4 linked regions of the Diceros bicornis minor genome follow. The protein of the gene in region 4 purifies or fractionates together with the protein of the main gene of each other region. This does not show direct contact. Links are inferred from orthologs where the notes say so. Each region holds a gene or a part of one and is shown on either strand. Other genes may lie near its edges.

Evidence for each region.
Region 1: the proteins of MAPK7 (region 4) and PFDN2 purify together in Homo sapiens (affinity purification with mass spectrometry; 3 studies listed by BioGRID and IntAct, with this or other methods). This does not show direct contact. The link is inferred for Diceros bicornis minor from reciprocal best matches to the Homo sapiens genes MAPK7 and PFDN2.
Region 2: the proteins of MAPK7 (region 4) and VBP1 purify together in Homo sapiens (affinity purification with mass spectrometry; 3 studies listed by BioGRID and IntAct, with this or other methods). This does not show direct contact. The link is inferred for Diceros bicornis minor from reciprocal best matches to the Homo sapiens genes MAPK7 and VBP1.
Region 3: the proteins of MAPK7 (region 4) and PFDN1 purify together in Homo sapiens (affinity purification with mass spectrometry; 3 studies listed by BioGRID and IntAct, with this or other methods). This does not show direct contact. The link is inferred for Diceros bicornis minor from reciprocal best matches to the Homo sapiens genes MAPK7 and PFDN1.

What each region holds. Positions count from the first base shown.
Region 1 is NC_080743.1:67,691,587-67,698,929, forward strand, and holds the start of PFDN2 (prefoldin subunit 2), read right to left. Parts: upstream 3,003-7,343; 5' UTR 2,974-3,002; coding exon 2,899-2,973; intron 1-2,898. Other genes in the region: NIT1 (deaminated glutathione amidase), read left to right, coding at 4,079-4,323, 4,433-4,536, 4,762-4,895, 5,063-5,188, 5,464-5,730; DEDD (death effector domain-containing protein), read right to left, coding at 7,111-7,343. UniProt on the Homo sapiens protein: Binds specifically to cytosolic chaperonin (c-CPN) and transfers target proteins to it. Binds to nascent polypeptide chain and promotes folding in an environment in which there are many competing pathways for nonnative proteins.
Region 2 is NC_080781.1:138,789,855-138,797,007, forward strand, and holds the start of VBP1 (prefoldin subunit 3), read right to left. Parts: upstream 3,009-7,153; 5' UTR 2,993-3,008; coding exon 2,900-2,992; intron 1-2,899. UniProt on the Homo sapiens protein: Binds specifically to cytosolic chaperonin (c-CPN) and transfers target proteins to it. Binds to nascent polypeptide chain and promotes folding in an environment in which there are many competing pathways for nonnative proteins.
Region 3 is NC_080740.1:58,601,489-58,608,997, forward strand, and holds the start of PFDN1 (prefoldin subunit 1), read right to left. Parts: upstream 3,009-7,509; 5' UTR 2,964-3,008; coding exon 2,931-2,963; intron 1-2,930. UniProt on the Homo sapiens protein: Binds specifically to cytosolic chaperonin (c-CPN) and transfers target proteins to it. Binds to nascent polypeptide chain and promotes folding in an environment in which there are many competing pathways for nonnative proteins.
Region 4 is NC_080757.1:2,122,573-2,130,335, forward strand, and holds the start of MAPK7 (mitogen-activated protein kinase 7), read left to right. Parts: upstream 1-4,750; 5' UTR 4,751-5,308; coding exon 5,309-5,540; intron 5,541-6,200; coding exon 6,201-6,366; intron 6,367-6,372; exon of another isoform or gene 6,373-6,910; intron 6,911-7,007; coding exon 7,008-7,763. UniProt on the Homo sapiens protein: Plays a role in various cellular processes such as proliferation, differentiation and cell survival. The upstream activator of MAPK7 is the MAPK kinase MAP2K5.

The sequences.
Region 1 (7,343 bases), on a different chromosome or scaffold from region 4:
ATGCCTTCTCTTTCCATCTACACACACATATACAAAAACATAAAGGAGGGAGGAAAAACCTCTCAAAGGATATACTCCAAAATGGTAAGAACAGTTATCTCTGGATACTACTAGTACCATCATGGGTAATTTATTTCTTATTTTGTACTTTTTCCTGTGTTTTTACATTTTCTACAATGAACATGTATTATTTTATGTAACAGGGAAAAAAAGTCAATAGTATAATATATATCGTTCTGTGACTCCCTCACTGCTTACATTAAAAAGTCCTAAATTCTCTGCCATGCAAAGACTCAGCTTGCCTTAATGGCCACATCTTTCTGACTTACACCTCATGATTTAGCTAAACAAATTTAGCAGTCACTGCACTTTGTGTCAAGTTAAGCTTTCCCTAGCTCTCCTCTTCCTACTCTGTCCCTACATTCTATTTCCAGTACCGCCTGTTCAAATCTATCCAATCCTTCAGGTTCAGCCCAAATATCTCTAATATGATCATAGTATAGACGGAAAAAATAGGTCTGCTTCTCAAGTCCCTCAATTAAAAGCCCTGCACTTCCAGTTACTGACTTTGGGTAAATTCACTGAAGCCCCTGAAACTCAAATGTCCTTATCTATAAAGGGAGGACAATACAACCTACTTCGAATGGCTGTAATTAAATAACAGAAGATAAAACAAGTGAAGTGCCTAGCACAATGTGTTACTTGCTTCCATCTTGTTTATAAGGGACATATGTGGATCAAACTTGCAGCAGTGATAAATCTTCTATTTTTTACCCAGTGTTCTCTCTGGAACACAAGCACAAAGGCAAGAGAATGTTAAGCAAGGAACAGCCTCAGAACTCAATTATCACAACTCCTCAGTCCCTTCTGAGGGCTCTCTTTCTTTAACCCCTTAACTATTGGTTCCACCCTTGTTCTGCTTCTTTTTTCACTTTCTGTACAAATCCCCGATGACTTCATCAACAATCATGGTTTCATCTACCATTCATAAACTCATAGTTCTCTAATCTGAATCTCCAACTCAGATTTCTTTCTGTAATTCAAGATTTATAAATCAAACCGCCTTCTAAATGTCTCTACCAGGATGTCCCACAAGAAACCCAAACTCAAAATCCTAAAATGAACTTATTTTCCCCCCAAACTGGTCCATCTTCCTACATTCCCTATGGCACCAGCATCCATCAAAGACAAAAACTTGAGACACATCCTCTTTTATCCCTTTTTCTCCACATTCAAGTCTGGTAGTCCATCCTAAACTTTAACTCCACCTGCACCCCAAACATGTCAGGCAGTTTCATGCCTTAGTGCTCTTAAACACATTATTCTCTCTAGCTAGAAAATCCTTCACTTCCTTCTTTGCTTCACTAACTTCTCTCATCCTTTAGAATTGAGCTGAAGGATTATTTCCTCTAGAAAACAAAATAACTAGCACTTATTAAATACACAGTATATTACAGTCACTGTGCAAAACACTGCATGCATTGTCTTGCCTAATAATCAAACGCAGTGATGAGGTAGGTACCATTATGTTTTTATAGGAGGGGAAGGTGGAGAGAATTAACTCATGGGAGGTCATCTATAGACAGTAAGCAGGAGAAATGTGATTCAAACACAGGTTTGACCCACCCCACTGACCCCAGTGCACTTCTGACACTCTTGGCCACCCCACTATACCACAGCTTGCCTTCTCCACCCATGCCTCAAATCCCATAACCTCCTGCTTAGTTAGAGGTCCCTCCTCTAGCTGCCATAAAGAAGGGCCTTTGTGTAACCCTGTACATCTTATTGTTTCGTTTGTCTTTTCTCAAATGAGTCTGGAGCTAACTTGAAAACAAAGTCTATTTCATTTATCTGTTTCCCTGTACCCACCAGAGCTCCTGGCACATGGCAGACCCTCAAAAAGGGTATTAGGTTCCCTCTCACTTCCCTTTTTTCCCTTAAGCCAGAAACTCTCTCTTTCCCCCCTCCCCAAAACCCCATAGCACTTTATACCTCATATTTAATTTATAAATTTTATAATATAAATTTTATTAAAGATAAAATTTATCTTCTGCCTCATATTAGCATTTTGTATGTCTTATTTTCCCACCAGACTATGAGCTCTTTGACTGCATAGGTCAGTTTGAAAAATCTTTATGCAGATACCCTCGCCTGTAGTAATTGTTCAACAAATAACTGATAAATAAAACTATAATTTAAAGAGCTGTTGTTTAACTGCGTTTTTCTTTATATTATGTAGGTTTCTTACCTCTATTAAACACTAGCCCCACTATCAGCAAACCATGGTTTCCCAAGCCTCAAAGGGCTTTCTAATTAATTTATCAAACGTTTCTCGATGTCAGGCACTGGGGGAAATGCAAACTCGGATTAAAAACGGTTTCTGGTCTCTAAAGAAATTCAATCTAACAATGACTCCCAAATTAAAATAGTATGGAACACTAGACTTATCGAGTATGTGAGTCACGCACGTGGCTCTGCAGAGTGACGGCGACTGTCAACGTGGTTTCAGGGTCACGTAACAAACTACACAACCAGCCCGTTGACTAATACCCTGAGATCCGTTACCAGCTGTCTTGCCCTGCCATACACACCCCGTCTGAGGGTGCGGAGAGGTGGGGAAAGTGACGACTATCTCCCCTCAGACCTGTGCATCCTCCCAGACCCTGCATCTCAGGGCTTTCCCCTCCCCCAGGCTCACCAACACCCCAAGGGGGGCGTGGCTTTCACCCACCAACCCGCCCACTCTCTCCCCGGGGGTTCGGCTAGCTTCTCCAAGTACCCTCCCCTCTCTCGGCGGCCACGCAAATGTGGGCCTGCACCAGCCTCAGGCTCCCCGCTCTTCTCGCATCGACTCCACGCCCAGCCGCGTTGGCCCCCTCCGCGTTCTCCGCGCCTCACCTGCTCTGCCGACACCGCCCCCTTCCCCGCGCCACTCCCGCTGCTCTTGCCGGCGCGACCGCTGCTCTCCGCCATCTTCGCCGCCTGCTGGCTTCCCGGCGTGCGCAGCTCAGCCCCCGCCTTGCGTCACGTCCGGTCTCGGAGTTACCGCCCACTCGCCCCCGGCGCCTCTGCTTCCAGGCCGCTTTTCGGTTCGGATCCTGCGAATGGTTTTGGCAGTACCTTCATGTAGGACCTGCTTCCTAGCCCGCTGGCCGCGGTGAATTCCACCTGTGGTGCTTTAACTTGTGCAGCAGAGACGCTACCCCTGAGGGAGGCGGGGAAGGACGGGCCAACTGGAGAGTGGGGGCGCGGGTTGGGATTCGGGTGCCGGTGCCCCTTGCCTACCACGGGGTGGTGGGGAACCAGGGAGGGTGAACTTCCACTCAGAGATTGTGGTGTAATGGGGAAAATATGCTTTGAGTCAGTAAGGCTGTGCAGGTGCACAGTCAAGGAGAGAGGCTGAGAAAACCAAGGAAATTTCTCGGGGGTGACTTTTGAACTGCAGAAAAGTTTGGCAGAGGACAAGGGCTTCAGGTTAATGTGAGATCACTAGAAGTCGAGGTATTCAGGTGCCGAGCAGAGCCCTTTTCTCCATCTTCCCACTTTATGATCTCTTCCTGTAGCCCATAATTATTTATAGTAAAGAGTGTTTTGAAGACGGGAGTTTTTCCTGGCAGAGCCCTGATTTAGCCTCACAGTATGAAGAGAGAAGTCAGAAAATCCGAGAGATTTATCGCTTGAGGGACGGGTTGGTTTCCTGATTTCTCATCTTCCTCAGGCTGGGCTTCATCATCAGGCCTCCTCACCAGCTCCTGTCCCTTCTTTTGTGTCCTGGACTCCGGCTACCTCGACTCTCAGTACTTTGTGCTCAGCCCAGGTAACCGTGTTTTGTTGTGTCCTCAATGCCTGGCGCATCGCAGGTGCTCAATAAGTGTTTGTTAAATGAATGGATGGTGGGAAACACTGGGCTACCAGCCATCCACAGAACATTTGATTGGTGGGTCATTGTGCCTTGTGAGAACAGAATCAAAGGGCAGTTCAGCCTTCCTTCCTCCCCATTTGATCCCTTCATCATCAAACTTGGATTTCCCCATGCTGGGAAGTGAGTCCTGCCTGTGCCATCCACAGACCCAGAGCCATGGCTATCTCCTCCTCCTCCTGTGAACTGCCCCTTGTGGCTGTGTGCCAGGTAACATCGACACCTGACAAACAGCAGAACTTTAAAACTTGTGCTGAGCTAGTTCGAGAGGCTGCCAGACTGGGCTCTTGCCTGGCTTTTCTGCCTGAGGCATTTGACTTCATTGCACGAGATCCTGCAGAGACGCTACGCCTGTCTGAGCCACTGGATGGGAACCTTTTGGGAGAATATACCCAGCTTGCCAGGTATCAGGGAAAGGGGGAGGGAGAGGTAGTTTCTTTGTTGGGCAGTGTCCCTGGATTGCCAGATATGAGTAGAGCCTTGAGAAGAGTTGTCAGTGTCCCTTCCTCCCAGGGAATGTGGACTCTGGCTGTCCTTGGGTGGTTTCCATGAGCGTGGCCAAGACTGGGAGCAGACTCAGAAAATCTACAATTGTCATGTGCTTCTGAACAGCAAGGGTGAGACTTCATAACTCTTTAGCCTGCCTCTTCGCAGGCTCTTCTACCTAAACTAAGATTCTCCAGAATTCTGTTTTGTTTCTCAACTCTATTTCCTCGGCCTAGGGTTTCAGGGTGTTTGTACTTCTGTTCATACCTATAAACTGTCTCCTCCTTGGGAGGAGAAGAACTAAGCTGAGCTTCTAAAGCACCAGCACTGAGTATTCCTTCTCTCTCTTATTCTAGGGTCAGTAGTGGCCACTTACAGGAAGACACATCTGTGTGACGTAGAGATTCCAGGGCAGGGACCTATGCGTGAAAGCAATTCTACCCTGCCTGGGCCCAGTCTTGAGTCACCTGTCAGCACACCAGCAGGCAAGGTGGGAGTTGTGAAAGGATAAGGGTGGGCAAACAAGAGGGAGGGGAATTAGGAATACTTTGACCTGGTAGTAGAGGATAGAAAGCCCTAAGGAATGGGTAGCAGGGGTATAACTAGATGCTGTGACACACAGGACAGGGGGGCTAACTAGGCTCGTTTTCTTTCCAGGTTGGTCTAGCTATCTGCTATGACATGCGGTTCCCTGAACTGTCTCTGGCATTGGCTCAGGCTGGAGCAGAAATACTTACCTACCCTTCAGCTTTTGGATCTGTAACAGGCCCAGCCCACTGGGAGGTAAGAGGACACCTCTTCAAAATATAAGGGCCTTCTCTTGACCTCATTCTTCTCCCTTGGCCCTACCAGTTGAAAGACTTTCTTCCCCTTCCCAGCTAGTGAGAAAATTCATTCCCCAGATCGTTGCCTAACTTATGTTAAAGAATAAATAAATCATTCCTAAACAATTATCAGAATGGCCCCGATGGGTATATTGGCCTGTAATGTCCATTGCTTATCACTTCCCCACTAGCACCTGTGTCTACTTACGCGAACACACATCTCCTCATCCCCAGGTGTTGCTGCGGGCACGTGCCATTGAAACCCAGTGCTATGTAGTGGCAGCAGCACAGTGTGGACGCCACCATGAGAAGAGATCAAGTTATGGCCAGAGCATGGTGGTGGATCCCTGGGGAACAGTGGTGGCCCGCTGCTCTGAGGGACAAGGCCTCTGCCTTGCCCGAATTGACCTCAATTATCTGCGACAGTTGCGCCAACACCTGCCTGTATTCCAGCATCGCAGGCCTGACCTCTATGGCAATCTGGGTCACCCACGGTCTTAAGACTTTTGACTTCTGTGAGTTGAGACCCCCATTGTGAGCTGGTGTTGCTGTGACTTGTAGGCAGGACCCAGGCACAGCTCCCCTCACTTGGGGAACCTTGACTCTCTTGATGGAACACAGGCTCAGCTTCTTGGGAAAGAAGAAACTTGCACCTGAGCTCAGATTTCAGTTTCAGAAAAGTGGAATTTTATGTAGTCACTGTTTATTTCATGAAAACTGAAGTTACGCTGAGGGCTGAGCAGCACTGGCATTGAAAAAAATATAATCATAAAGTCTGTGTCTGGACATCTCCTCTGGGAGCTGAAAGGGAGGTGGTATTGTACCAGCTGGACTGGGCTCCAGTTCTAGGCTTCCTGGCTCACTCAACATGCCTCCCCACCTAAATAAAAGTGCAACACTCAGTGCATGTCCCAGCCCCATGCTCCCAAGCTTGGGAGTGGGATTGGGGGTAGAGGATGGGGAAGGAAAAAGAAGAAAGGAGTTGATATTGAATTACTTCACTTTCACCTATGATGCCCTTTGCCCAAGTCATAAGAAAGCAAAGGGGAAAAGGGCTGCAGGGTACATTATTTATTTTCACTTGAACATGGAAGGAAAGTGTCACACTCCCCCTTCCCCTTTTTAGGGGGAGTGTATTTTAATTAGCAACAACTTCTCCATCCACCCTGTGTATGTGTGTACACACACACACCACAGTTGGGAGAGGCGACTAGGCTGACCTAGTCCTCTTACCTATTACTCCCTTGAAGAGGGTTTGACAAAGGAAGAAAAGGAACCACACCAGGCAGAGGTTTCAAGCCATGGAATGGAGGAAACAAGGCAGAGAGGAGCAGCACCAGAGGCCAGGAGAGAGTGGAAAGGGCCACAGCTTCTTTGTTTTTTAAAAATTCTATAATTTGGGAGAGGGTGGTGATTAATTTCCAAAATACACTTCAGAGTCCCACCTTCCACATAGCTCCCTTACTCACAGCCCTTTGGTTTTTCAGACAAAATTTAAGAGCCCCCATAAAGCCAGAAGTACTGATAACCCCTCAATGCACCCAAAAGCAGTGTTCACTTCAATCCCTTACAAAGACTATGTTCCATAGACTTTGCTTCTCTCTATACATTTGTCTTACGGCTCAGTGGCAAGGTGGCTGTAGAGACATACATTAGGGGGATAAGTGGAAAAGGGGAACAAAGGGGAAGCCCAGGCACATGGGTGCAGGGAGGGGTGGGGAACACCACTTCCATTTTCCTTTGTCTTTTCCTTTAAAAAAAAAAAAAAAAGGCAGGGGTGTGATTGGTTGGAAGGGTAGAGAACAAACCCCAGAACAGTATGTAAGCTCCAGAGGTGGGTGGTGGGAACAGTCCCCCAGAGAAGTGAGAAAGGGGAAAAGGTCAGGGCAATGCTTGCAGCATCAAGTTCCTCAGGAGTTTCTGTCGGCCCAGCTCATAGTCCTCCTCATCCACATTCACCAGCAGCTTAATGGCTTCATGGCCCACAGCCTGCTTGAGGGAGTCTGTGATAAAGACACCTTTAAGTGCCTCTAGTAATGAGCCATTGATGTAGTCGCGCCAGAATGCATCGAGGTAGGTGAGCTCAGAGAACTTGATATCACAGATGATGGAGC
Region 2 (7,153 bases), on a different chromosome or scaffold from region 4:
CCGAATAGCATTTTTAAAATGTATACTATATGTTGGTCCTTGAAGAAAAGCTAGTTAATTAGATGAGGATCAAGAACTAGATGAAAATACATGGAAACTTTAAGGAGATTCTATAAGAGCCTTCTAGTACTGTAAAGAACTTTAGTCCTTCATTGTAAGTAAGTTAAATTCAATTATCTTATGGTTTATGGGATCTCTAGGTCATTATTCTTCTCCACACTTACTAGCTATGAGGGAATATTTTAGCTTAAGCAAAGCAAGGAGAAAAAGGAAGAGAAACACAGCAAGGGAGTGAACTATGAAGCCATCAAGCTAGAGACACAGTAAAAGAAACTGAAAAGGTGAGGCTGAGGCAAGGGCTGAGCTCTGCATGTAAAATGGAGATACCATCTTCCTAGAAGGGCCACTGCAGGAAAGAGAAATAAGTCAAAGTTTCTAGCACATGGTACCTGTTATTAGGAGCTTAGAGTCTAACATGGAGAAGTAATTATAGCAGCATAGGACTGTGGTTAAGAGACAGGGGCTGCTTGGTTTGAATTCTGGCTTCACCACATACTAGAGGTGTTGACCTTGGGTAAGTGATTTAATCTCTCTTTTCCTCAATTTCCTCATCTGTAAAATCAAAAAAAAGTACCTTTCCTCACAGGGGATTAAATGAGTTAGCATGTGTAAAATGCTTAGAAGAGTGCATGACAGCTAGGAAATGCTCAACAAACATTAGCTATCTCTATAACACAATGTGCTAAGGGAACAGATGAAAGTACCAAGAATTCCGTCTTGCAGCAGTGGTCAGGAAAAACTACAGGGAAGTCATATCTGAACTAGATATGAAGTTCTAAACATGAAGAGGTCAGTAAATGGACAAGGGGGAAAAAAAGCAAATTACTGCACCACTGGGAATGGGGGAAGGGGAAAGCGTGAGGTCTGACTTCTAACCAGTATGGTATACCGCCTCCTATCATCACAGAAACTAATATATATTAAGCATCTACTTGCAATACTGAAAGCACATTCTCCATTTCTCATGGCAACTCTGTAAGTATTGTTATTCCTCTTTCAGTTAAAGAAACGGAGGCTCAAAGTGGTAAAATAATATGCTCAAGATTAAGCAGCAATTGGGAAGTAGAGGCAGAATTCAAACCCTGGTCTATTTAGATGCCAATGTTCTTTCTACAATACCATACTATTCCCATTAGTTTGGGAACATAAAAATAATTATGTAAAATTTGGATTGCTTATTATATCATATTGGTAGAAATTTTAAGGTCTAGAAAAAATAACCCATTAACATTTTAAGATAAGACTTTATAAAGCCCTCATAAAGTTTATCCTCCTGAATTAGATTTTTGAAGCCATCTCCAGCTAAGCACCATGAATGTAGTATTTAAGCCACTATGGAAATTCAATTTGACATCCAGTTACAAGCTTATACTATGTGTCAGCACTGTGCGAGGACCAGGAGAAATGACACTGAGCAAGGTAACTACCTCACTTTCCTCCCAGTAGCAGAGCACGATGTGTAAGTACAGGCTCCAGAGCCCCATAGGTTGCCCAAGTTCAAATCCTGGATAACTCACTTACACCCTGTGTGACTCGGGGCAAGTTACTCAAGGGTTCTGTGCCTCAGTTTCATCATCTACAAAACGGGAATGACAACAGTATCTACCTCCTGGAGTTTTGTAAAAGCATTAGGAAAGTGCCTGGCACTCAACAAATTTTCTCTCTCGTTACACTTAGTTGGGAGATGAACGTAAAGAAATAAATGGCACAGCTCAGGGAGAAAACGCAAAATAACTAAAGAAAATAACTACAAAACTGAATCGGCAAATGCAAATATACAATATAGAGTGTATATAAAAGTGGTATAAATAAAAGAATCAATAAAACAAATGGGTCTTTTGAAGGATGTAAGACACCATTAACAAAAAGGTAGAGATAACACAACAAAAGTACAAACCAAAAGGTCGAGAAAATTCCATTAAGATTTTATAGTAACTCAGCCAGAACTGAGTGGGGAAAGACAGATGATACCGGCTTGGAAGGCCAGTCAGGTTTTCTGTCATTATTCAAACAGTTTTCAAATACTATTTCTAGATTAGCCTGATGGAAAGACAGGGTTGAAAGCATCTACTTGCTTCTCTTTGGACTTGGGTTGGTCTCCCTGTTCTGTGAAGCCTCCAAACTGCATTCCCTGCCTCTTGTCTCAACTCGACACGATTCATTCTCTACTAAGTTGTTAGAATGATGTACCTAAAACCAAATATGATTATATCACGGCTTTATTTAGACACCTTCTAACGACATCCCGTTGCCTACTGGATAAACCCTCAATTCCTCAGCAGAACACACAAGGACTTCACATTTTCACCCTATCCCACTTTTCCATCAGTCTCTTATTCCATTCCTCTAAGGCAACAGACCACCGCATTCCTTCAACAGACTAGGTGTCATTTCCTGTTTTCACACCTTACCAGCAGTTATTCTGCCTACTCATGGTATCCTAAGTCACCGTTTATCTGTCAGTCTCTCCAGCACTTAAGCTGAGTCTCGAGCTTCTCACCGCTTCCCTTTTTCCAGGCAGCAGGGGACGAAACCCTGCGTCCGGGAGCGGGAGGGCGGGTCGGTCTCAGGGACCGCCCCCGCCCCCGGCCCGGCTCCCGCGTCCTCTCGCCCCGCGCCCCCTTCCCTTCTCGGGCCTTCTCGGACCACGGTTCACCCCCGGGCAGAACCCAGCACAGCTCAGTCCGTCCAGGCGTGGAGGGAGAGCGGACGGGGCACTCTCTTCCCAGGTCCTTTAGCTCAACTCCTTTCCCCAACAGTCGAGGCCAGGGTGGGGACCGGCAAGGAAGGGGTAGCCCACGGCCTAGCATCAAGATGCCCAGGACCAGCGTGCTCTTACCACAAACACGGCCTCCGGAATCCCTAGGTGGAGCCGCCGCCCGTTCCCTGCGGGCACTTCACCTAAGCCACAACTGTCCTTAGCGGCCGCCATCTTGGAGAAACAAGCGTGCGACTAACTGCTCCGCCAGCCGCCAGCCGCCGGGGGTCCGTGATTGGCTCGCTCACACCAGCAAGCCCTCCCCTCCCTTGTGAGTCTGCGCGTTCATTGGCGCGCAGGAAGTAGCCGCCCCTTCTCCCTCGGACTCAGCCTGTGGGTGCTGACTGGCTGCGCGCAGGTGAGTGACAGGCGTGGAAGAGCCGCGGAGGAGAAGCTGGTTCCGGGGGAAGGACCAATACAGACTCCTGCGAAAAACGGTCTCGGGGATGTTGTGGGTAGGCAGGGGTGGAGACCCTGGGAATTGGGGACCAAGTCGGACCCCACTCCCACCCCAAAACAGGCAGCACCCTCCAGAATGGCCTTTGAAGTGACTCGATCACCTCTCGAATACAAGCGAACCTGGGAACTAGACGGCACCATGGGGCTTTGGCTTCAGTGCCTTTCTGGTCCCAACATCCCAACGAGCTTCCTGGCCCTTGAAGGGGGCTTGTTTTGTGGCTGTTTCTGGAGTCACTGGCCTGATTCTAATAAATACCCCGCCCATTGCACCAGCCTTTCTTGAAAGCATCCTTTGATCAGAATCTCGCCACTCCAGCTCAAACATTTTCAAAACTTAAGTCTACATAAAATCCTAAGGACTCTTCTGAGGCTTCTAGTCCTAAGGACTTCCCCAGCATTGCCCATCACTACAACTCTTTGAGAGCAAGTGCATTATACATACCCAAGTAATTATTCTTTGGTGTCTTTTCTGACATCTAACCACCATGTTTATTCTTGCCTTTGCTTGCTCTGCAGTGATTCCTAGTGAAGCTGTGCTTCATCCGCACACACAAAGCCTACCATGAGCCAAGCCCTTTATGAATAAAGGATAAATGTCAGTTCCCTTACCTAGTGGGGACACACACAGTGATTAACATTTATTAGAAACCAACTATGTACCAGTCACTGAGTCATGTTATTTAATCCCCACAGCTCAGTGTGAGAGGGACTGCTATCATTCCTAGTTTACATACAAGTAAAGGGCCTTAAAAATGAACCATTTGTAAGATAATAGGATAAATGTTATAATAGTCACATCGGGTAGGAAGGGAGCACAGGTGAAGACACTACCTAAGTCATATTTTAAAATGAGAATAACAATGTGTACCAACAAGGCTGTTGTAAAGATTGCCACACAATAGGGCAACCAAAGAATTTTATTTGGATTATCTTGTTTCACCCAACATCCTGATAAAGAAATAACAAGCAATAGGATATTGGAGTATATGAGGAAGCCATTTGGTATAAAACTAATTCAGCCTGAACTTGTTTTTTTCCAAAAGGGCCTGACACAGCCGTTGAGCATGCATTGTATATCTGCTTTAAGTATTTACTATGTCCCAAAGACAACAACAATGCCCTTAAAGATAAGGATATAACTTCCTCCACATCAGCATTTCCTTAAGGACAAGCATCTTTCCCTAAACTAGGGATTGATTGCTGACCTGCTATGACCACCCACCTCCAGACCACTGACCTGCTGTGTTCATCGAATTGCAGTGCCAGCAAAGCAATCTCGTGACCGTTGTAAAAGGGACATTCCAATCATATGTGATGCATTTGGAGTGACCCATTCCTTTGTGGAAGGACTCTCTGGGGCTATATGGTCCTCAGATCTGGCTCATAATAAACTCACCCCAATTTTGATTTATAGATTGGTTATGGATTATTTTTGTTGACAATCCCAACATCCTTCCTGTCTGGTCATTATGAGCACATATATAAAGTGACCTTGTCATGGTAGGGTGCCAGCAGAATCAGAAAGAGGTTGATGGGGTTCAGGGCAGGCTGCCCCAAGATGTGCCACTCTGGTATGTGGATTATTTCAAACTGAAGACAATCAAGGCTCAGAAGACTCTGAAAGAAACTTTGAACCCCGCCCCCAACTGCCTTAAAGGATTTAAGATAGAAGGCCTATCCCCAGGACAGGCCATCCCTATAGATAACTCTGGGTATGGATAGACTGGGACGGTCCTTGCTAAGCCCATTCTTATCAAAGTTCTGTTTACCAAACATTTATGTTTGTAAGGGAAATCTCCATTTGTAAAGGTATCTCCCTCTCTGTACTGGGAAGAAAGGGGGATGACTTCATCTGTAGAAACTTATCAATGGGGAAGGCAAGGCCTTAAATCTGCATAATAACATTACTCTTGTTTACTGTGCTTTTCTGGTAATCTCCCATAACTGACTCCCCCAACATCCTCTTTTATCTTTAGCTGAAGAGGGTATTTAAGAGGAGAACCTCAGCCATTTTGTCGAGTTACCCAGTCTTTCCTGGCTTTCTCTCGTGTATGCATATTATAAAGCTTTGTTTGATTTTCTCCTGTTATTCTGTCTCATGTCAATTTAATTCATACCTCAGCCAGAAAGGACCCAGAGTGGGTAAAGGATAGTCTTCCTCCCCTTCAGGGTCAAAGAAAAGCCTCTCAAGGCCAAAGAAATGAAGCTACATGCAAAAAGATCCTGGACTAGAGAACCAAGAACCCAAAGTCACCCCAACACTGAGTCAAAGAAGGGGTCAGGCTTGGGAAGCCAGAACTCCATGCCTCAAGTTCCAGGAAGGCAGGCTGCAGCAGGAACTCTCTAGCTCCTAATAGTATAAGGCAATCTAGATTAGTACTAATTAGTACAGACAGTCATAGAAATAGAAATAATCTAGTTGGAGCCTCTCATGTTACAGATGATGAAACTGAGTCCTAGAAAGAGAAAAGAATGTGCCTAAAATCTCACAGAAAGTCTTGGGGTAGAGCAGAAAAAACCCAAATAATTCAGTTCCAAGTCCAGTGTTCATTTTTGCATGAAGAAAGACAGACTTGTGGAATAAAGAATGTCCAGAAACAGACAAGTACACAGGGAAATTTAGTAAATGACAAGGGTGGCATCTCAAATCACTGAGGCAAAGATGTACTTTTTAATAAACAGTGTTGTAACAGCTGGGTAGCCATTTGCGATGTAGGGGAGGAAGACAATTCCTCTATCCTCTAGGTCTTTCTGGCTGGCCTAAGAATTAAATTGACATGAGACAGAATAACAGGAGAAAATCAGAGCTTTATAACATGTATACATGGGAGAAACTCAGGAAAGCTGAGTAACTCACCAGAATGGCCAAAGCCGCCCTTAAATACCATTTTCAGCTAAAGACAAAGGAGGATGTTGGGGGTAGTGGCTTGGGGCTTCAAAGGGGAGGAAGGCAATTCACATGGAGATGGAAAAGCAAATGTTTGGTAAAGAAGTGTTTGCTGGGCCAGCTATAGACAATGTTATCTTATGGTATTAGCTCCTTCCTGGAACAGGCCTTCTATCTTAAATTCTTTTAGGCAGTTAGGGGGAAGGTCAAAGTTTCTTTCAGAATCTTCTTCTTAAAAATAATCAAGCCAATGAGACACCTTTTGAGGTGGCCAATTATGATCCCTCACAGGGAAAAAATAAAATTAGATTAATATCACAAACTATATACAAGAATAAATTCCAAATGGATTAGGAAAATAAATGTAAAAAAAGTAAATCATATAAGTACGAGAAGAAAATATGGGGTAATTCCCCCTTTAATTGTGGTGTAAGGAAAGACATTCTATGACTTATCCAGGGACAATAAAAGAAAAGGCTGATACATTTGCCTATTTATAAAAAACAACAACATAACTCTTACAAAAATGACACCAGAACAAATTCAAACTGTTAAGAAGCTGGGAAAAAATATTAGCGAAATTGTACCAAAGAAATAGACTAAATGTCATACTGAAAAATGGGCAAAAGACAATTAACAAACAAAAAGACGTAAGAATTTCTTGTAAACATGTGAAAATGTGTTCAACCTCACAAAAACTAATAAATTTCAAAATAAAACTACTCTGTGGGGAAAGCAGTAGGAAGAAAGCAGGCCTATCTGAGAGCTGAGGGAGGGGGATGGGGATGGGGGCAGGGAAAGGACAGTGGACAGAGGGTAGAGCAGAGCAGGATGAGCATGGAGCAAGCGCCAGGGAAAAGGATTAAAGAGCAGAGAAGGGAAGAAGAATGACATAATTAAAAGAGGGGGCAAGGCCAGAGGACAATGAGCAGGAATGGAAATGTGGGACACGGAGCAGTACAGGATAGAGGAAAGGGGGCAAGTTAGGA
Region 3 (7,509 bases), on a different chromosome or scaffold from region 4:
AAATTCAAATATATTAAAATAAAGCATGCAGGGGAGGGCCCCGTGGCTTAGCGGTTAAGTGCGCGCGCTCCGCTACTGGCAGCCAGGGTTTGGATCCCGGTTGCGCACCAACGCACCGCTTGTCTGGCCATGCTGAGGCGGCGTCCCACATACAGCAACTAGAAGGATGTGCAACTATGACATACAACTATCTACTGGGGCTTTGGGGGAACAAAGGAGGAAGATTGGCAATAGATGTTAGCTCAGAGCCAGTCTTCCTCAGCAAAAAGAGGAGGATTGGCATGGATGTTAGCTCAAGGCTGATCTTCCTCACAAAAACATAAATAAATAAAAAAATAAAGCATGCTAACTAGAGACAAAGCTGTGAAATTTACCAAAGCAAACACCAACAAAAGTCAATATAATTGTAAAGGATCAAGCCACTATGCTAAATACTGAATTTACCCTGTCCTCAGAAGAAGCAATCTATTTGAAGAAGCAGAACAAATGCACATTAAATAATAACCATATCAAGTAGCAGGTACCCAAGGAATAATAAAAGCAATAAATGCAACAGTCAGAGGATGAAACCCAGAGACTGAAAACAAGAATCATAAGTGTAACAACTTGCTACATTTGCATTATACAACTAGGTTTCATAGCACTTTCCCACATTTGTTTGAAATATTAACATTGGAATATTAATATGAGAGCACTGAGGGATATAATAAAAAAATCTCATTTACTCTTCTCAATGATGTTACGAGTCAGGGATGGCAGTTTCATCATCATAGTTTACAAATTAAGTAACTAAATGTGTTAAAGAGGTATAAATGGCTTGCACAGGCTTAATAACTATTAGGTGGAAAGGCAGCTACAGTACTTAAATTCATTTCTTCTGACCCCTAGTTCAGAAATCTTTCTATTCTACTGTCTACAGTAATATTCAGAATATGAATATTTTTAAGAGAAAGAAAAAAAAAGAGAAAAAAATTTCAAAGCATTGGTAGACTTTATCATGATCTTCACATGCACATACCAAGCCAAATTTGACCCTTGTGTACACTTAACTCAAAGATAAACACAGATCTTGGATATTTTTGTTGAAGTGCCTGGAATAACTTTCACCTGCTGTCAAATTTATGCCTTACTAATAACATTAGTGACTGCAATACATGGCAAAGTCTACTACTTATGTTTTATTCTGACTTTGGTCTCACCTAATAGTAAAGTTTAAAAAGATTTATTTGAGGAGAGAGGAGGTACCTGAAATTTCCTATTAGTCTCCACCCCCTCCAAAAAGAGACCTTATAAAGATATTAGAAGATAAAACCTTTAAACAACAAGTTTCCTTTTTTTTTTTTTTTTTTTGGTGAGGAAGATTGTCCCTGAGCTAATATCTGTGCCAATCTTCCTCTATTTCGTATGTGGGACGCCACCACAGCATGGCCTGATGAGTGGTGTGTAGGTTTGCCAGGGATACAAACCCATGAACCGGGGGCCGTGGTCCACTGAAGCAGAGAGTGCCTAAACTTAACCACTATGTCACTGGGCCAGCCCCACAAGTTTCTCTTATGGTTAATTTAATTGGTTGTCAAAACTATCCAATTTAAGTCTGTAATCATTTTCTTAGTATGCATTTTGTCCACAGGTTTCTTAGCATCAAATCCAAATAATACTGGGAGGCAAGTCCATTCACAGCTGTACTCTATTAGCTCTTTCACTAAACCCTGACTTAAATTTGAATTTTTAACAGAAAAAAAAAAGTTAAACTTTTAGAATGCTTCAAGCATTCTTAAAATGAATTTTGTTTTGCATGTAAAATTATAGGTATTACCTGATTGTTCTGTACATAGTTTGCTAAGGAAGCTAGTATATTGTTAAAGCTGAGATACTACTGCATTAGAGACCACCAGGTAAGGGCTAAATTTACAAGTTTCCAAACAGGAATGACAAAAAGCAAGACACACACACATACGTACAAACGGCTTCATTTATTAGGAGCAAGAGCTATGCAAAGGTTGACCAGAAGGCAGTCTTTAGTAAAATCTGCTTTTCTGAAAAACCTAAACTAATGGTCAAAGGTGTGAAGTAAAGCAGAGAATGCTGGATTCTACTCTCAGCCTGTGCCTGAATTTTTTCTGGTACTCAGTTTCCTCTTCTAGAAAAGTATAGGTTTAAAGTAGATGAAGTCTAGCATCCTTTCCAATCCCTGTGTCCCAGCGTCCCCAAAAAAGGATATCGTTTTGGGTTGGCAGTGGTGTTAAAATCCTGACAACTCGCAGATGGCAAAAACGTTTTTAAGTAACAACACGTTAATAAGCAATTGTTTGAAGAGAGAAACCCAATTCCTTCAGACATCGATTTTATTTGGAAAACTTTACTGGACTTGTTTCTGTAGTTTACAAGTTCTTCAAAAAAAGGGGGAAGGGGGTGGAAGACAAAGCCCTCAGATGAACATTGCTATGAGAATATCTGACGCGGAAATGTATGTATATACTACGACCTTTCAAGATGGAATCAAATAAGTGGACTAAAAAACACAAGGTTGGAACAGGGAGTTTTTCAAAGCAGATGGGGATGCAGAATTACAGATGCCTCGGCTCGTCCGAAAGGGCTCCAATTTGAAACGCTCACTTCAGGCCTTACGATGCAACTGATGGCTCTGAGCGCAACGAAACGGCTCTGGAGCTCGGAACGAGGGGACAGGCCAGCCAACGGCCCGCCTGACTTAACCAGACCAAGCCCAACCGGCTCTTATCCAGCTAGAGACGCTCGCCCACCACTCCAGCCTAAGGAGACCCGGTCCCGCCTTAGGACTCTGGGAAATCATTCCCCAATTCCCTGAGGCCTCTTTCCTTCCGCAGGACTCGAGCCTCACTCGATATTCTTGTTCACACTCCCCTTAGCTTCCAAAGAGAAGCCACTGCCTGCTCAATACCCTCCTTTACCTTCTTCAACTCCAGATCCACGGGGGCAGCCATCTTGGTTCACTCTCTGCGCCTGCGCGGTGGGAGAAGGCCAGAAAGAGGAAGCGGGAAGGGCGCGCCTTGGCGGTTTGATAGTCCTCTTTCCTTCTGCGCCTGCGCATGAGTTGGGCTAATTGAGTTTCCTCCTGGCTCTGGGGCTAGCATCCCTTGAAACTTGGGGATTCCGATTCAGAGTCTGTTTTCCCCACGTGAGCGATCAGACCTGGCTTGCTTCGCCACATCCTTCCAGACAGAGCACAATGCGCAGATTTCGCGTATGGTTTTAAGCATTTTGACAAATAGCTTAGTTTGTGCTGCTAAATTGGGATGTATGTGGATCCGGCCAAAACCTCTTCAGTCATTCGGTCCTTCAAGCTAGTTCCTGTGTTGTCAGGAAGAGGAAGAATCAGCCTGAGCCTCAAGCATGCCAATATGAAGACCAGAAGGCTTCGTTGAAGTGTTTTTTGTGCGTGTGTTTTTTTTTTTTTTTTTTTTGGTGAGGGAGATTGGCCCTGAGCTAACATCTGTTGCCCATCTTCCTCTATGTTGTATATGGGATGCCGCCATAGCGTGGCTTGATGAGCAGTGCATAGGTCCGCACCTGGGTTCCGAACCTGCGAACCCTGTACCACTGAAGCAAAGTGCATGAACTTAACCACTATACCACCAGGCGGGCCCCTGAAGTGTTCTTCCAAAGAACTTATTTGTACTGAACGCTCCTGGAAGACTTTCTAGACACGTGGTTCTGAAAAGAGGCCAAATAAGTTTGTGGAAAAAAATACAGATTCTCTGGTCTTTATCCCAAACTTAATTTAGAATCTTTCAGATTGGGGCCTGGAAATTTTGTAGTTTTGCAAACTCCCTTTATGACCTGATGCAAGTTGTCTGCAGACCCCATTTTGAGAATCTTCTGTAAAAGACCCGGCATTTGAACCAGAAGGATGGATAGTATTGGACTTTGGAAATGAAAGAAATGGATGTTTTACCTACTCTAAAAACTTGTGAGGAAAGAGAAAGGGCAGGGAATTTGGAACCAGCAAGATCTGAATTTAAGATTTGGTCTACCTTGAGCCTAGGTCTGTCTGGTTCCATTGGCTAATTGTGTGGCAATACAGTATATCTCCTTATTTAATTTGAGAGTAACAATACTGACCTAACAAAGTTATTGTGAGGATTAAATAAGATCAAGATGAAAAGCTCCAAGCATAGCACCATGCACACAGTAGGTACTCAATAAATAGTTGTAGTTAAGCTGACGTAGTTAGCATTGTCATGTTTGTCTTTCAAGGTGCAGCCCAATGGAGGAGACCAAAAATAATCCCTCCTCTGAACTCTCCTCAAGACTACATCTGTTCCTCTCTCAAAGCACATGACACTTTCTACCTTTAAAAAAAAATTTTATTAGACTGTAAGCTCCTTAAAATCAAGATCTGTGGGATAGTGGTTCCCCCACCACTTATACCCAGAACACTTATCACAGTGCATCACAGGGAAGGGATACAAAATAAACACTTGTTGAGAATGAATTCTTCTTCAGAAGAAAATTTGTCATCACTCTCTAATTTGGGAAATAAAAAAAGGGCCTAATTCTACTCTGGGATTGTCTTAGAACTTCATTAGAGATGATCAATAAATAATGACTGAATATTAAAATTCAAAGCAGGTCTCAGATACTTTCCTATACATTACCTTATGAGATTTTGAAACATTCCTCATAGAGATATGTGCAATGTAAAAGTTAAGAGCCTGGGCTAAGGTGTCAGACAACTTGGGTTCAAGTACTGACCGCACTATTTAAGAGCAATGTGACCTTAGGCAAGAATCTTCTCTCAGTTTTTTTGATCATTGTTCCTTTTTGCATACCACTCCTTCCTCCTGAGTTTAATTTCCTTCTTGATGAAGTAAATCCTTCAGTAGATTCTTTCAGAAAGAGTCTTTGAGAAGTAAACTCTCTTAGTCTTCGTGTTGTCAGTTGAGTTGTGTCCCCACAAAAAAAGATGTATATCCTACCCGGGTACCTCTAAATGTCATGTATCTGGAAATCGAGTCGTTACAAGAGGTAATCAAGTTAAAATGAAGTCATTAGGGTGGGCCCTAATCCAACATGTCTTAGTTCTTCAGACTGCTATAACAAAATACAGACGGTCCTCAACTTCTGACAACTTATACTTCGAATTTTGAATTTTGATCTTTTCTGGGTTAGCGATATGCAGTACAATACTCTCTGATGATCCTGGGCAGTGGCAGTGAGCCGCAGCTCCCAGTCAGCCACGCGATCATGAAGGTAAACCACTGATACACTTATAACCATTCTGTTTTTCACTTTCTGTACAGTAGTCAGTAAAATACATGAGATATTCAATGCCTTGTGTTACATGATTTTGTCCAAGTGTAAGTTAATGTAAGTGTTCTGAACATGTTTAATGTAGGCTAGGATAGGGGCCAGCCCTGTGGCATAGCAGTTAAGTGCATGCACTCTGCTGCTGGCGGCCCGGGTTCAGATCCGGGCATGCACCAATGCACCGCTTGTCAGGCCATGCTGTGGTGGTGTCCCATATAAAGTGGAGGAAGATGGGCACAGATGTTAGCCCAGGGCCAGTCTTCCTCAGCAAAAAGAGGAGGATTGGCATGGATGTTAGCGCAGAGCTGATCTTCCTCATCAAAAAAGTAATAATAATAAAGGTAGGCTAGGGTAAGCTATGATGCTTGATAGATAAAGTGTGTTCAATGATTTTCTTTTGTGTGTGTGTATGTGTGTGTGAGGAAGATCAGCCCTGAGCTAACATCCATGTTAATCCTCCTCTTTTTGCTGAGGAAGACCGGCTCTGAGCTAACATCTATTGCCAACCCTCCTCCTTTTTTTTTTCCCCAAAGCCCCAGTAGATAGTTGTATGTCATAGTTGCCCATCCTTCTAGTTGCTGTATGTGGGACGCGGCCTCAGCATGGCCAGAGAAGCGGTGTGTCGGTGTGCGCCCGGGATCTGAACCCCGGGCCGCCAGTAGCAGAGCGCGCGCACTTAACCACTAAGCCACCGGGCCAGCCCCAACGCATTTTCAACTTACAATATTTTTAATTTTTGATGGGTTTATCAGGACGTAACCCCATCATAAATCGAGGAAGATCTGTACCACAGACTGGGTGGTTTATAAACAACAAACATTTATTTCTCACAGTTCTGAAGACTGGAGTCTAGGATCAGGGTGCCAGCATGCTTGGGTGAGGGCCATATTCTCGGTTGCAGACTGCTGACCTCTCACTGTGTCCTCCCTTGGTGGAAAGGGCAAGGGATCTCTGTGGGGTCTCTTTTATAAGAACACTAATCCCAGTTGTGAGGGCTTTGTTCTCATGACTTAAGCATCTCCCAAAGGCCCTACCTCCTAATGCCATCATCTTTGTGGGTAAGGATTTCAACACATTCAGACCATAGCACAATATGACTTGTGTCCTTATAAAAAGGGGAAATTTAGACACAGACATAGATATGCACAGAAGAAGGACTATTTGAAGAGACATAGGAGAATGCCATGTGAAGATTGTAGTTATGCTTCAGGCTATCAGAAGCTGGAAGAGGCAAGAAAAGGATCCTTCCCCTATAGGTTTCAGAGATAGCACTGTCAACACCTTTATTTTGGTCTTCTAGCTTCCAAAACTGTGAGAAATAAATTTCTGTTGTTCTAAGCCACCCAGTTTGTGGTACTCTGTTATGGCAGCCCTATGAAACTAATACACTTTGTATACATAAAATTGTCTTAATTTCACTCTTAATTTTAAATGACAGATTAGCTGTGCATAGAATTATAGACTGACAATTATTAAAGACATTTTTCCATAGTCTTCTGGCTTTTATATACTGATAAAAAGTCCTGTCAGGCTGCTTTTCGTGATTTTGTTAGAAATCATCTGTCTTTTCTCCGGTGTGTTTTAAGACATTCACTGTGTTTTGCGTTCTACCTTTCCACTTTGGTGTGTGTGTGTGTGTGTGTGTGTGTGTGTGTGTGTTTTCTTTATTTTTCCTGCTTGAGACATAATATGCTTCTTTAATCTGAGAATTCATGTTAATTCTGAAAAATATTCAACCAGTATCTCACAGAATGTTGACTCTCTGCCATTTTCTCTCATGACTCCTACTAGAACTCCCATTAGAAATGTGAAGCATCCATATTTCTTAGCCTCTATTTTACACTTACTATCTATTTCCTGAATCTTGTGTAATTTATTCAATTCTTTCCACCAATTTACTAATTCTTTCTTCAACTATGTCTAATTTCCTGTTTAAACCACACCTTGGGTTTTTATTTCAATAATTATTGTCTTTAATTCCTGAAATTCTATTTGACCCTTTCATGATAAAAACACTCAACAAACTAGGAATAGAAAGAAACTACTTTAACATAATAAAAGCCATATATGAAAAACCCATAGTGAACATTATACTCAATGGTGAAAGACTGAAAGTTTTTCACTAAGATCAGGAAAAAGGCAAAGATGCCCACTTTTCTCACTTCTACTCCATATAGTACTAGAAGTTCTAGCCAGAACAATTGGGCTAGAAAAGAAATA
Region 4 (7,763 bases):
TAGCCCAGGGCCAGTCTTCCTCAGCAAAAAAAAAAAAAAAAAGCGAGAAGGATTGGTGGATGTTAGCTCAGGGCTGATCTTCCCCACAAAATAAATAAATAAATGAAAAATAAATAAATGGATATAATTAAAAAAAAAAAGAAATTGTGATGAGCTTGATAACACTTCCCAGAGAGGTGAGGCAATAAGCCTTTTTGAGATAAAGGAACTGGGTGGACTCTGAACTGCCTCTAGAGCTGCTTTTCCAGTCTTACAAGGATTTTTTAAGGACAATTGCTCTTAATTTCTCAGAAATTGGGTTGTAACTGAAAAGACATTATAGGTTGATCTACCTGTCCAACTACATCATAAAGGCACAGAGAAGCCACTCAAGTTGTCCCCAAGATGGAGTTTCTGGGGGATATCTGCCTCGTCAGTTTTTAATATCCCATTATCTACAAGCATTTATGGCTTAACTATGGACATAAGGCATCCCCAAAAGAGAGTGCAAAAGGAGTAGCCCTCACAAGCTCCAGAAAGTTCACTCCCGAAAAACAGCCTAAGAAAGCAAAGGCCTTCGCTGCACAGGCGGTAGTGCACCAACAAACAACAAAGATTGAGACAACAAAGGTCCCTGATGGACTGAGACCCCTCATGAGCAAAGAGGTCACAAAGCCAAGTTCTCAAGACATAGAACAAAACAAAAAGAGGAACAAAATCTCATCTTATATGCACATTAACAGCTTTAGCTATGCTTTGGGTCTCTTGGAGCCAGACTAATACCTGGGGGGAGGTAGCACGGGGTTGGGGACTGTGTGTGCTTTACAGAGTGCTTCGTCATTGCACGGACATTTTCTTGAAGTTGGTGGGGGACCTGCGTCATCTACCCCATTCCGTGACCAACTTATCCTTCCACGGGAGACTTCTGGAGGGGGCGAGCACCCTAATGGCTCTTAACTGCTGGGCCCGTGCCCACCAACATTGCGGCTCTTTTGGCTTCCAAGACGCCCTGTTAGCAACAGCTTCCACCTATGGGCGTACTCCACAGGCGGGCCCTGCGGCAGAGCTACTGCCGGCCACCCAGAAAGCAGGCTTGTGGAGCTGCCTGCATCTTGCTCTAAGGGTTTTCCTTTATGACAAATGACACAAAAAACAGAAACAAGGGAAAACAGTGACCGTCTCTGGGAGGAGAAGGATCAATAAACCAATGAATATTCAGTAGCTCCTACTGCTTACTTGTAGCTGAAAGTCTCCCAATTCAGGAGAATGCAGCCTAAGGCGTTTCAGGTGGGGATCGAATTAGGGTCTCCCATTGTTTGAGAATTTAGACACGACTGGTCAAAAGTATATTTATGTGGGGCCGGCCCAGTGGCTTAGCGGTTAAGTGCGTACGCTCCGCTACTGGCGGCCTGGGTTGGGATCCCGGGCAGAGCACCAACACTTCGCTTCTCCAGCCATGCTAAGGCCGTGTCCCACATACAGCAACTAGAAGGATGTGCAACTGACATACAACTATCTACTGGGGCTTTGGGGGGAAAAAGGGAAAAAAAAAAAAGGAGGAGGATTGGCAATAGATGTTAGCTTAGGGCCAGTCTTCCTCAGCAAAAAGAGGAGGATTGGCATGGATGTTAGCTCAGGGCTGATCTTCCTTAAAAAAAAACAAAAAGTATATTTATGCTGCAGCTAGAATCAGATTGCGAAAATTTAAACCATCCCTAAAATCAAGACCCTTAAGGGCCGGCCCCGTGGCTTAGCGGTTAAGTGCGCGCGCTCCGATGCAGGCTGCCCGGGTTCGGGTCCGGGTGCGCACAGACACACTGCTTCTCCGGCCATGCTGAGGCCGCGTCCCAGATACAGCAACTAGAAGAATGTGCAACTATGACATACAACTATCGCCTGGGGCTTTAGGGGAAAAATAAATAAATAAGACCCTTAAATGAAGGCCCAGCCAAGGCTTTCTTCAAATAGCCAATGTAATTCCCCTGAGGCTGATGGCAGTTTGGTAGGACTCAGCCACAAACGGGAGCGCAATCCGCATTTCTGTCAGACTATCTCTAACCGCAAAATGAGGTGCACCCTATTTCGTCCGACTGTATTTTGGGATCCTCCCGCAACCTGACAGTTATCAAGCCAAGCCCTCAGGACACAAAACAAGCTTGGCAAGATTCTGCTGTTCACTGTAAACATTTACACCTTTTGGAAACTTTTGGTCAAAAGGTGCAGTCCTTGACTCTTTAAAGATTAAAGATTTTTCCTTGTTCCTTGGTTTGGAGGCTCAAACAGAGCCCAAAGTGGCCACTGTAATTTTAAACTATCCCGGGTCATCTTGCCAGCTTTTTGCAGTTATCTCCCTTTTAGGGGGCGCTTTTATCAAGGTGGCCGCAACAAACAAGGTCTGATAGTGAGCTAGTGGGAGCAGCTCCCCCAAGAATAATCAAGGGTTGGCTCTTTCCCTTATGTGTCCCTGCACCCACCAAGTTCAGGTGATTTAAGCCCCGGATGAGCTGCTGCTGTCGATTGCCTCACCACGAACAATGAAGGCCCAGTAAGACACGTTCTTCAGGAGGCATCCCTATGAGGCCATTGCACGTCATGGGCAGACAGCCTGACACCTCGGTAAAGTCCCCAGTCACCTGGGAACGTGCTGAAGGACCAGAGAGAACAGTGCCTCTTTTCTTCAGAGTCAGAAGACTCTCATAAGATTAGTCTAAAAGGCAGTTTGTTGCAGTCACCGAGAAAATCAGTCCCCAAGCAGCCAATTTCAACAAATAACACAGTCAAAGGTAGACAAACATGAACAGATACAGAAATCCAATCTCTGGGACCCTACCCCAGAGTTCGGGACTGTAACCCGATCCTTTTGAGTGCCTCAGCGGCTGTAACCTTTATATTGTCTCCCACAATCCTAGCCTTGGGTTTTAACCCAGTAGCCAAATCTCACCAGTACGGCCTCTAACCCACAATCCTGACAAGATATTAGACGATTTTAGGCACAGGCGCATTTAAACAAAGTCACTCACCCAAATCCAAAAGACGTCTGATCCTGGAGCTCTTTACAGACATAGACAGACACAGACATAGACACCAATGAAACGGGTTCCTAGAATCTGGGTGAAGTCCTATTCCTCTTCCCACTCCGGTAGGGCACCCTATTAACCAGATGGTCCTCCTTCTCAAAGAGGAGACCCCAGATGGAGGAGAAGGAAAGTTCTCAGTGGTGGACCCCCAAGGTGACTTACCCTACTCCAGATGAGAGCCTGTTGACCCACCAGATGTAGCCATTTCTCTTCCTACCACATCAGCGTTAGGAGGCAGCCGGCGTCGGCACGGGAGAGCAGGTAGGGCAGATCCCTGAGACAAAGAGAGCCTCGGCAGCCCCTAGGGACTTACCTGACAAGCTGCCCATCCAAGGTCGGCTAGCCACGAGCAGGACTTAACGTCCCATCTGGGTCGCCAAATTGTTACAGCCCAGCGTGGGGCCTTCTGCTCGCCGCAAGACATGCCGGTAGTCAAGAGGCAAGGTGGTAGGAGAAACAGGACTTTTTTATTACAGCTTGCTAGCAAGGCTAGCAAGAGGGAAGATGGCCGACTCATGTCCCAAAGAACCATCTTAAGGGGGCATGAAATCTTACAGCAGTTATATAGGCCATTGGGTTATAGGGGAGGGGGCTAGGAATGTTGACCTTCTGGTGTTACAGACCGGGAGTGCCACATGAGATCTTTCAGTTTTCACTGATGATGGCTATCAGCATAGATTCCCTGTTCGGGGGTTATCACATTCCTAAGGAACTCAAAAGAGCAAAGTTATCATCTTATTGCAGCTGGGAGGTACATGCACAAGCAGGGGTCGTAAAATCTACAGAGCAGTTAGATCTGCTGGAGGGTGCATATCCAGCTGGGTTAGTTTGTCAGAGGTCATTCGAAGTTACAGTAGAGTTTTTCTTTTCTACAATATGGCTTCCCTTATGTCAACCTTATCTTGAGCCGGTATCACTTCCACTGCCCACCATGTCCCCTCTGCCTCCCGGGCACTGAGCCCTGCAGCCACGGCGCTGGATCAATATTTGCTACATGAATGAATGAACCACGGGGCTCCGGAGCAGGTGAGGGCACCCGGCTTCCTGTGCGGGCTCTGCTGACCCGAGGGGCCTGGGCCCGCTGCCCCTTCTGTTCCCCCGCAGCCCACCCCGCGGGGGCCGTGTGACAGCGACACCGTGCGGAGACGACACGCCAGAAGCTGTGCAGGGAGGACTCGCCACCGGAAGTCAGTGGAGGCTTCAGACCGGACGCTCTAGAATCCCGGAGGACCGGGATCTCTGTGGTGGGACGTGATGGATCACCCTCTACTTGGGATGATGCATTCTCCGAGCCGGGCTCCCTGGCCGATCAGGAAAATGGGGGAAGTGACACAATCCCCTGGGCGATGGGGACTGACAAGGGAGGAGGGGCCTAAAGAAGGGGGATTTCGTGAGCCGGCCGCCAGGTAACAGTCCCAAGCGTCTCAACTTCTCCGAGCTCCGGTAACCAGCTACGACGACCTGGTTGTAGGAGGAGATGGAGCCGATAGATGGGGATGCGCGTGCGCGCGCACGTACGGCGGCGTTGCCTTCCGTTCACGCGGCGCCCGGGGCTGCCAGCGCGCATGCGTCAAAGGGGCGGCGCAGGGCTGGGAGCGCAGCCCTGCGAAGCGCGGAGCGCCCTTTGGGCGGCTCCCGCTGGCGAGCGGGACAGCGGCGCGCGCGCGCGCGCGCGCGGAGGGGCGTGGCTTCCTCTGCCGGCAGGCTCGGATTGGACGCAGCAAGTAGAAAGGGTGGGAACCTCGTCAGAGGCCGCCCAGCGATTGGCCAGAGGCTGGAGAGAGCGTGGTCTTGGGAGGCGGGGCGGGGCACCGGCGGTGCAGGGCGAGACGCCGAGGTGGTGGCGGTGGCCTTGAATAAGTGAGCGAGCGGCTCTTGGAGTCCCTCTTCAGTGGGGCGGGAGGCCGGGGAGCCCCGGGAGCCCCCGAGAGCACCGAGGAGGCGTCAAGGGGAGGCGCCTTTCGGTGAGTGCGGCCGAGAGAAGCAAGCGCCCCGCCCCTCCCTCTCTTCCTGGACCGCGCCTCGCGGCGCCTCCCCCCGCCGACCCTGCGTTCCGCCCGGAGCTGAGCTCGGGCGCCGGGTACCGCGGTGGGGCGTCTCATACGGGCCAGCCGCTGTCTTTCGCCCCCTCCCCGGCTCCGGTTGGCTCAGGGAACTCGGAAATCTCTTGGTCCTGCTCCCCAGCCTCACCGAGGGGAAACGGAGGCCCGGGGGGGTGGGCCCCTCCTCTCCCGCGTCTCCACACAGAGGCCATGGCCGAGCCCCTGAAGGAGGAAGACGGCGAGGACGGCTCCGGGGAGCCCCCCGGGCCGGTAAAGGCGGAGCCCGCCACCACCGCTGCCTCGGTAGCGGCCAAGAACTTGGCCCTGCTCAAAGCCCGCTCCTTCGACGTGACCTTTGACGTGGGCGACGAGTATGAGATCATCGAGACCATCGGCAACGGTGCCTACGGGGTGGTGTCCTCTGCGCGCCGCCGCCTCACCGGTGAGCTCCCGCCGGGCGCCGCCCACCGATGGGAGCCCGGGCCCGCGAGGGGGAGAAGCCTGCCCCGGACAGCAAGGAGAGCGGGGTGTAGATCCTGGTCCGAGTCAGCAGAGCCGGTCCGGTGCCGTCCGGGGGCCAGGCGCTGGTGGGCATAGGCTCTGGAGCTCTGGAATGGTGGTGGTGCCAGCCCGTCAGCCTACTTCCTCAGCAGATGACGATCCCGGTTAGACCAGGATGGACATCTCGTCCTTGGTTGCCAAAAGGGAAATGCGTTCTGGAGCCGGAGACGGGCGAGGGCTTGGTGGTGGGAAGGGTGAGGCCTGAGATGGAGAGGGAGTGGGCAGGTAGGAGGAGCACAGGCATTAGCAGCTAGGCTGCTGCTGACTAGCTGTGCAGCCCCCAACAGGTTACTGAGCCAAGGTGTCCTTAACTCTAACTCTGAGCTGTTAGTAGCTGCCTGGGGGAAGAGATGTGAGAGAAAGTCTGATGGTTTATGTAAAGTGCTTAGCACAAGGCTTGGCACGTAGTAGATGCTCAGTATAGAGTAGCTGTTGTTATTTGCATCCTGGAAGGGGTTATTTGCGTACTGAAAGGGGCCTTGTGCCACGCTGCACCTACCCCAACATACTAGATGGTATCTGCCTTTTCCCTACTCCCCAGGCCAGCAGGTGGCCATTAAGAAGATCCCTAATGCTTTTGACGTGGTGACCAATGCCAAGCGGACCCTCAGGGAGCTGAAGATTCTCAAACACTTCAAGCACGACAACATCATTGCCATCAAGGACATCCTGAGGCCCACCGTGCCCTATGGGGAGTTCAAGTCTGTGTAAGGAGCAAGGATGGGCGAGGGAGGCAAAACTGGGTCCTTTTCTGAAGGCTGGGCCATATTGCTGAAGTTCTGGAAGGGCAGCTGAACCTGATATGCGGCAGGCTGGGAAAATTCCCACAGTTCCAGGACCAGTGCACTCTTAGGGCTTTGCCAGGGACAACTGTGATTCCTCAAGAAGAGTACAGACAATTTTATAGAATCTCAGTATATAGGATAGTAAACGTGGGACATTCGTACTATAACTGCACCCTCCTACTCCCATAGCAGATTCACTAATCAATCACAGAACACTTTCCTGCAGAAAACGGACAAGCCGTCACTGTTTTCATCATAGTCTTTCAAGCAGGCACTACCAAACAGTGGAGATGACCCCCAAACTAAACCTATTTGGCCAGCCCTGGTTTAATCCAACCCCGTCTTTTCTCTGATGGGGAAACTAGGTCTGGAGAGAAAAGCGATTTAACTTCACTTAAGCTCGTGGAAAAGTTGTAGAGATTCTAGAATCTTCATACCATGCCATTGGGCCTTACAGAGTCCAAGGGTAAGGCCATTACATGTTTGAAGCCGGGAGGGTGTGGTGAGGATGGGGCTGGAGTGTGGGTGAGACATCCCATGCCTGTCTCCCCTGCCCCTTCCAGCTATGTGGTCTTGGACCTGATGGAGAGTGACCTGCACCAGATCATCCACTCCTCGCAGCCGCTCACGCTGGAGCACGTACGCTACTTCCTGTACCAGCTGCTGCGGGGCCTCAAGTACATGCACTCAGCTCAGGTCATCCACCGCGACCTCAAGCCCTCCAACCTATTGGTGAATGAGAACTGCGAGCTCAAGATTGGTGACTTTGGCATGGCCCGCGGCCTGTGCACCTCGCCTGCTGAGCACCAGTACTTCATGACTGAGTATGTGGCTACGCGCTGGTACCGTGCCCCTGAGCTCATGCTTTCACTGCACGAGTACACGCAGGCTATTGACCTGTGGTCTGTGGGCTGCATCTTTGGTGAAATGCTGGCCCGACGCCAGCTCTTCCCAGGCAAAAACTACGTGCACCAGCTGCAGCTGATCATGATGGTGCTGGGTACCCCCTCGCCGGCTGTGATTCAGGCTGTGGGGGCTGAGAGGGTGCGGGCCTATATCCAGAGCCTGCCGCCACGCCAGCCTGTGCCCTGGGAGACAGTGTATCCAGGGGCTGACCGCCAGGCCCTCTCACTGCTGGGGCGCATGCTGCGTTTCGAGCCCAGTGCCCGCATCTCCGCAGCTGCCGCCCTTCGCCACCCCTTCCTGGCCAAGTATCATGACCCTGATGATGAGCCTGACTGTGCCCCACCCTTTGACTTTGCCTTTGACCGTGAAGCCCTCACCCGGGAGCGCATTAAGGAGGCCATCGTGGCTGAGAT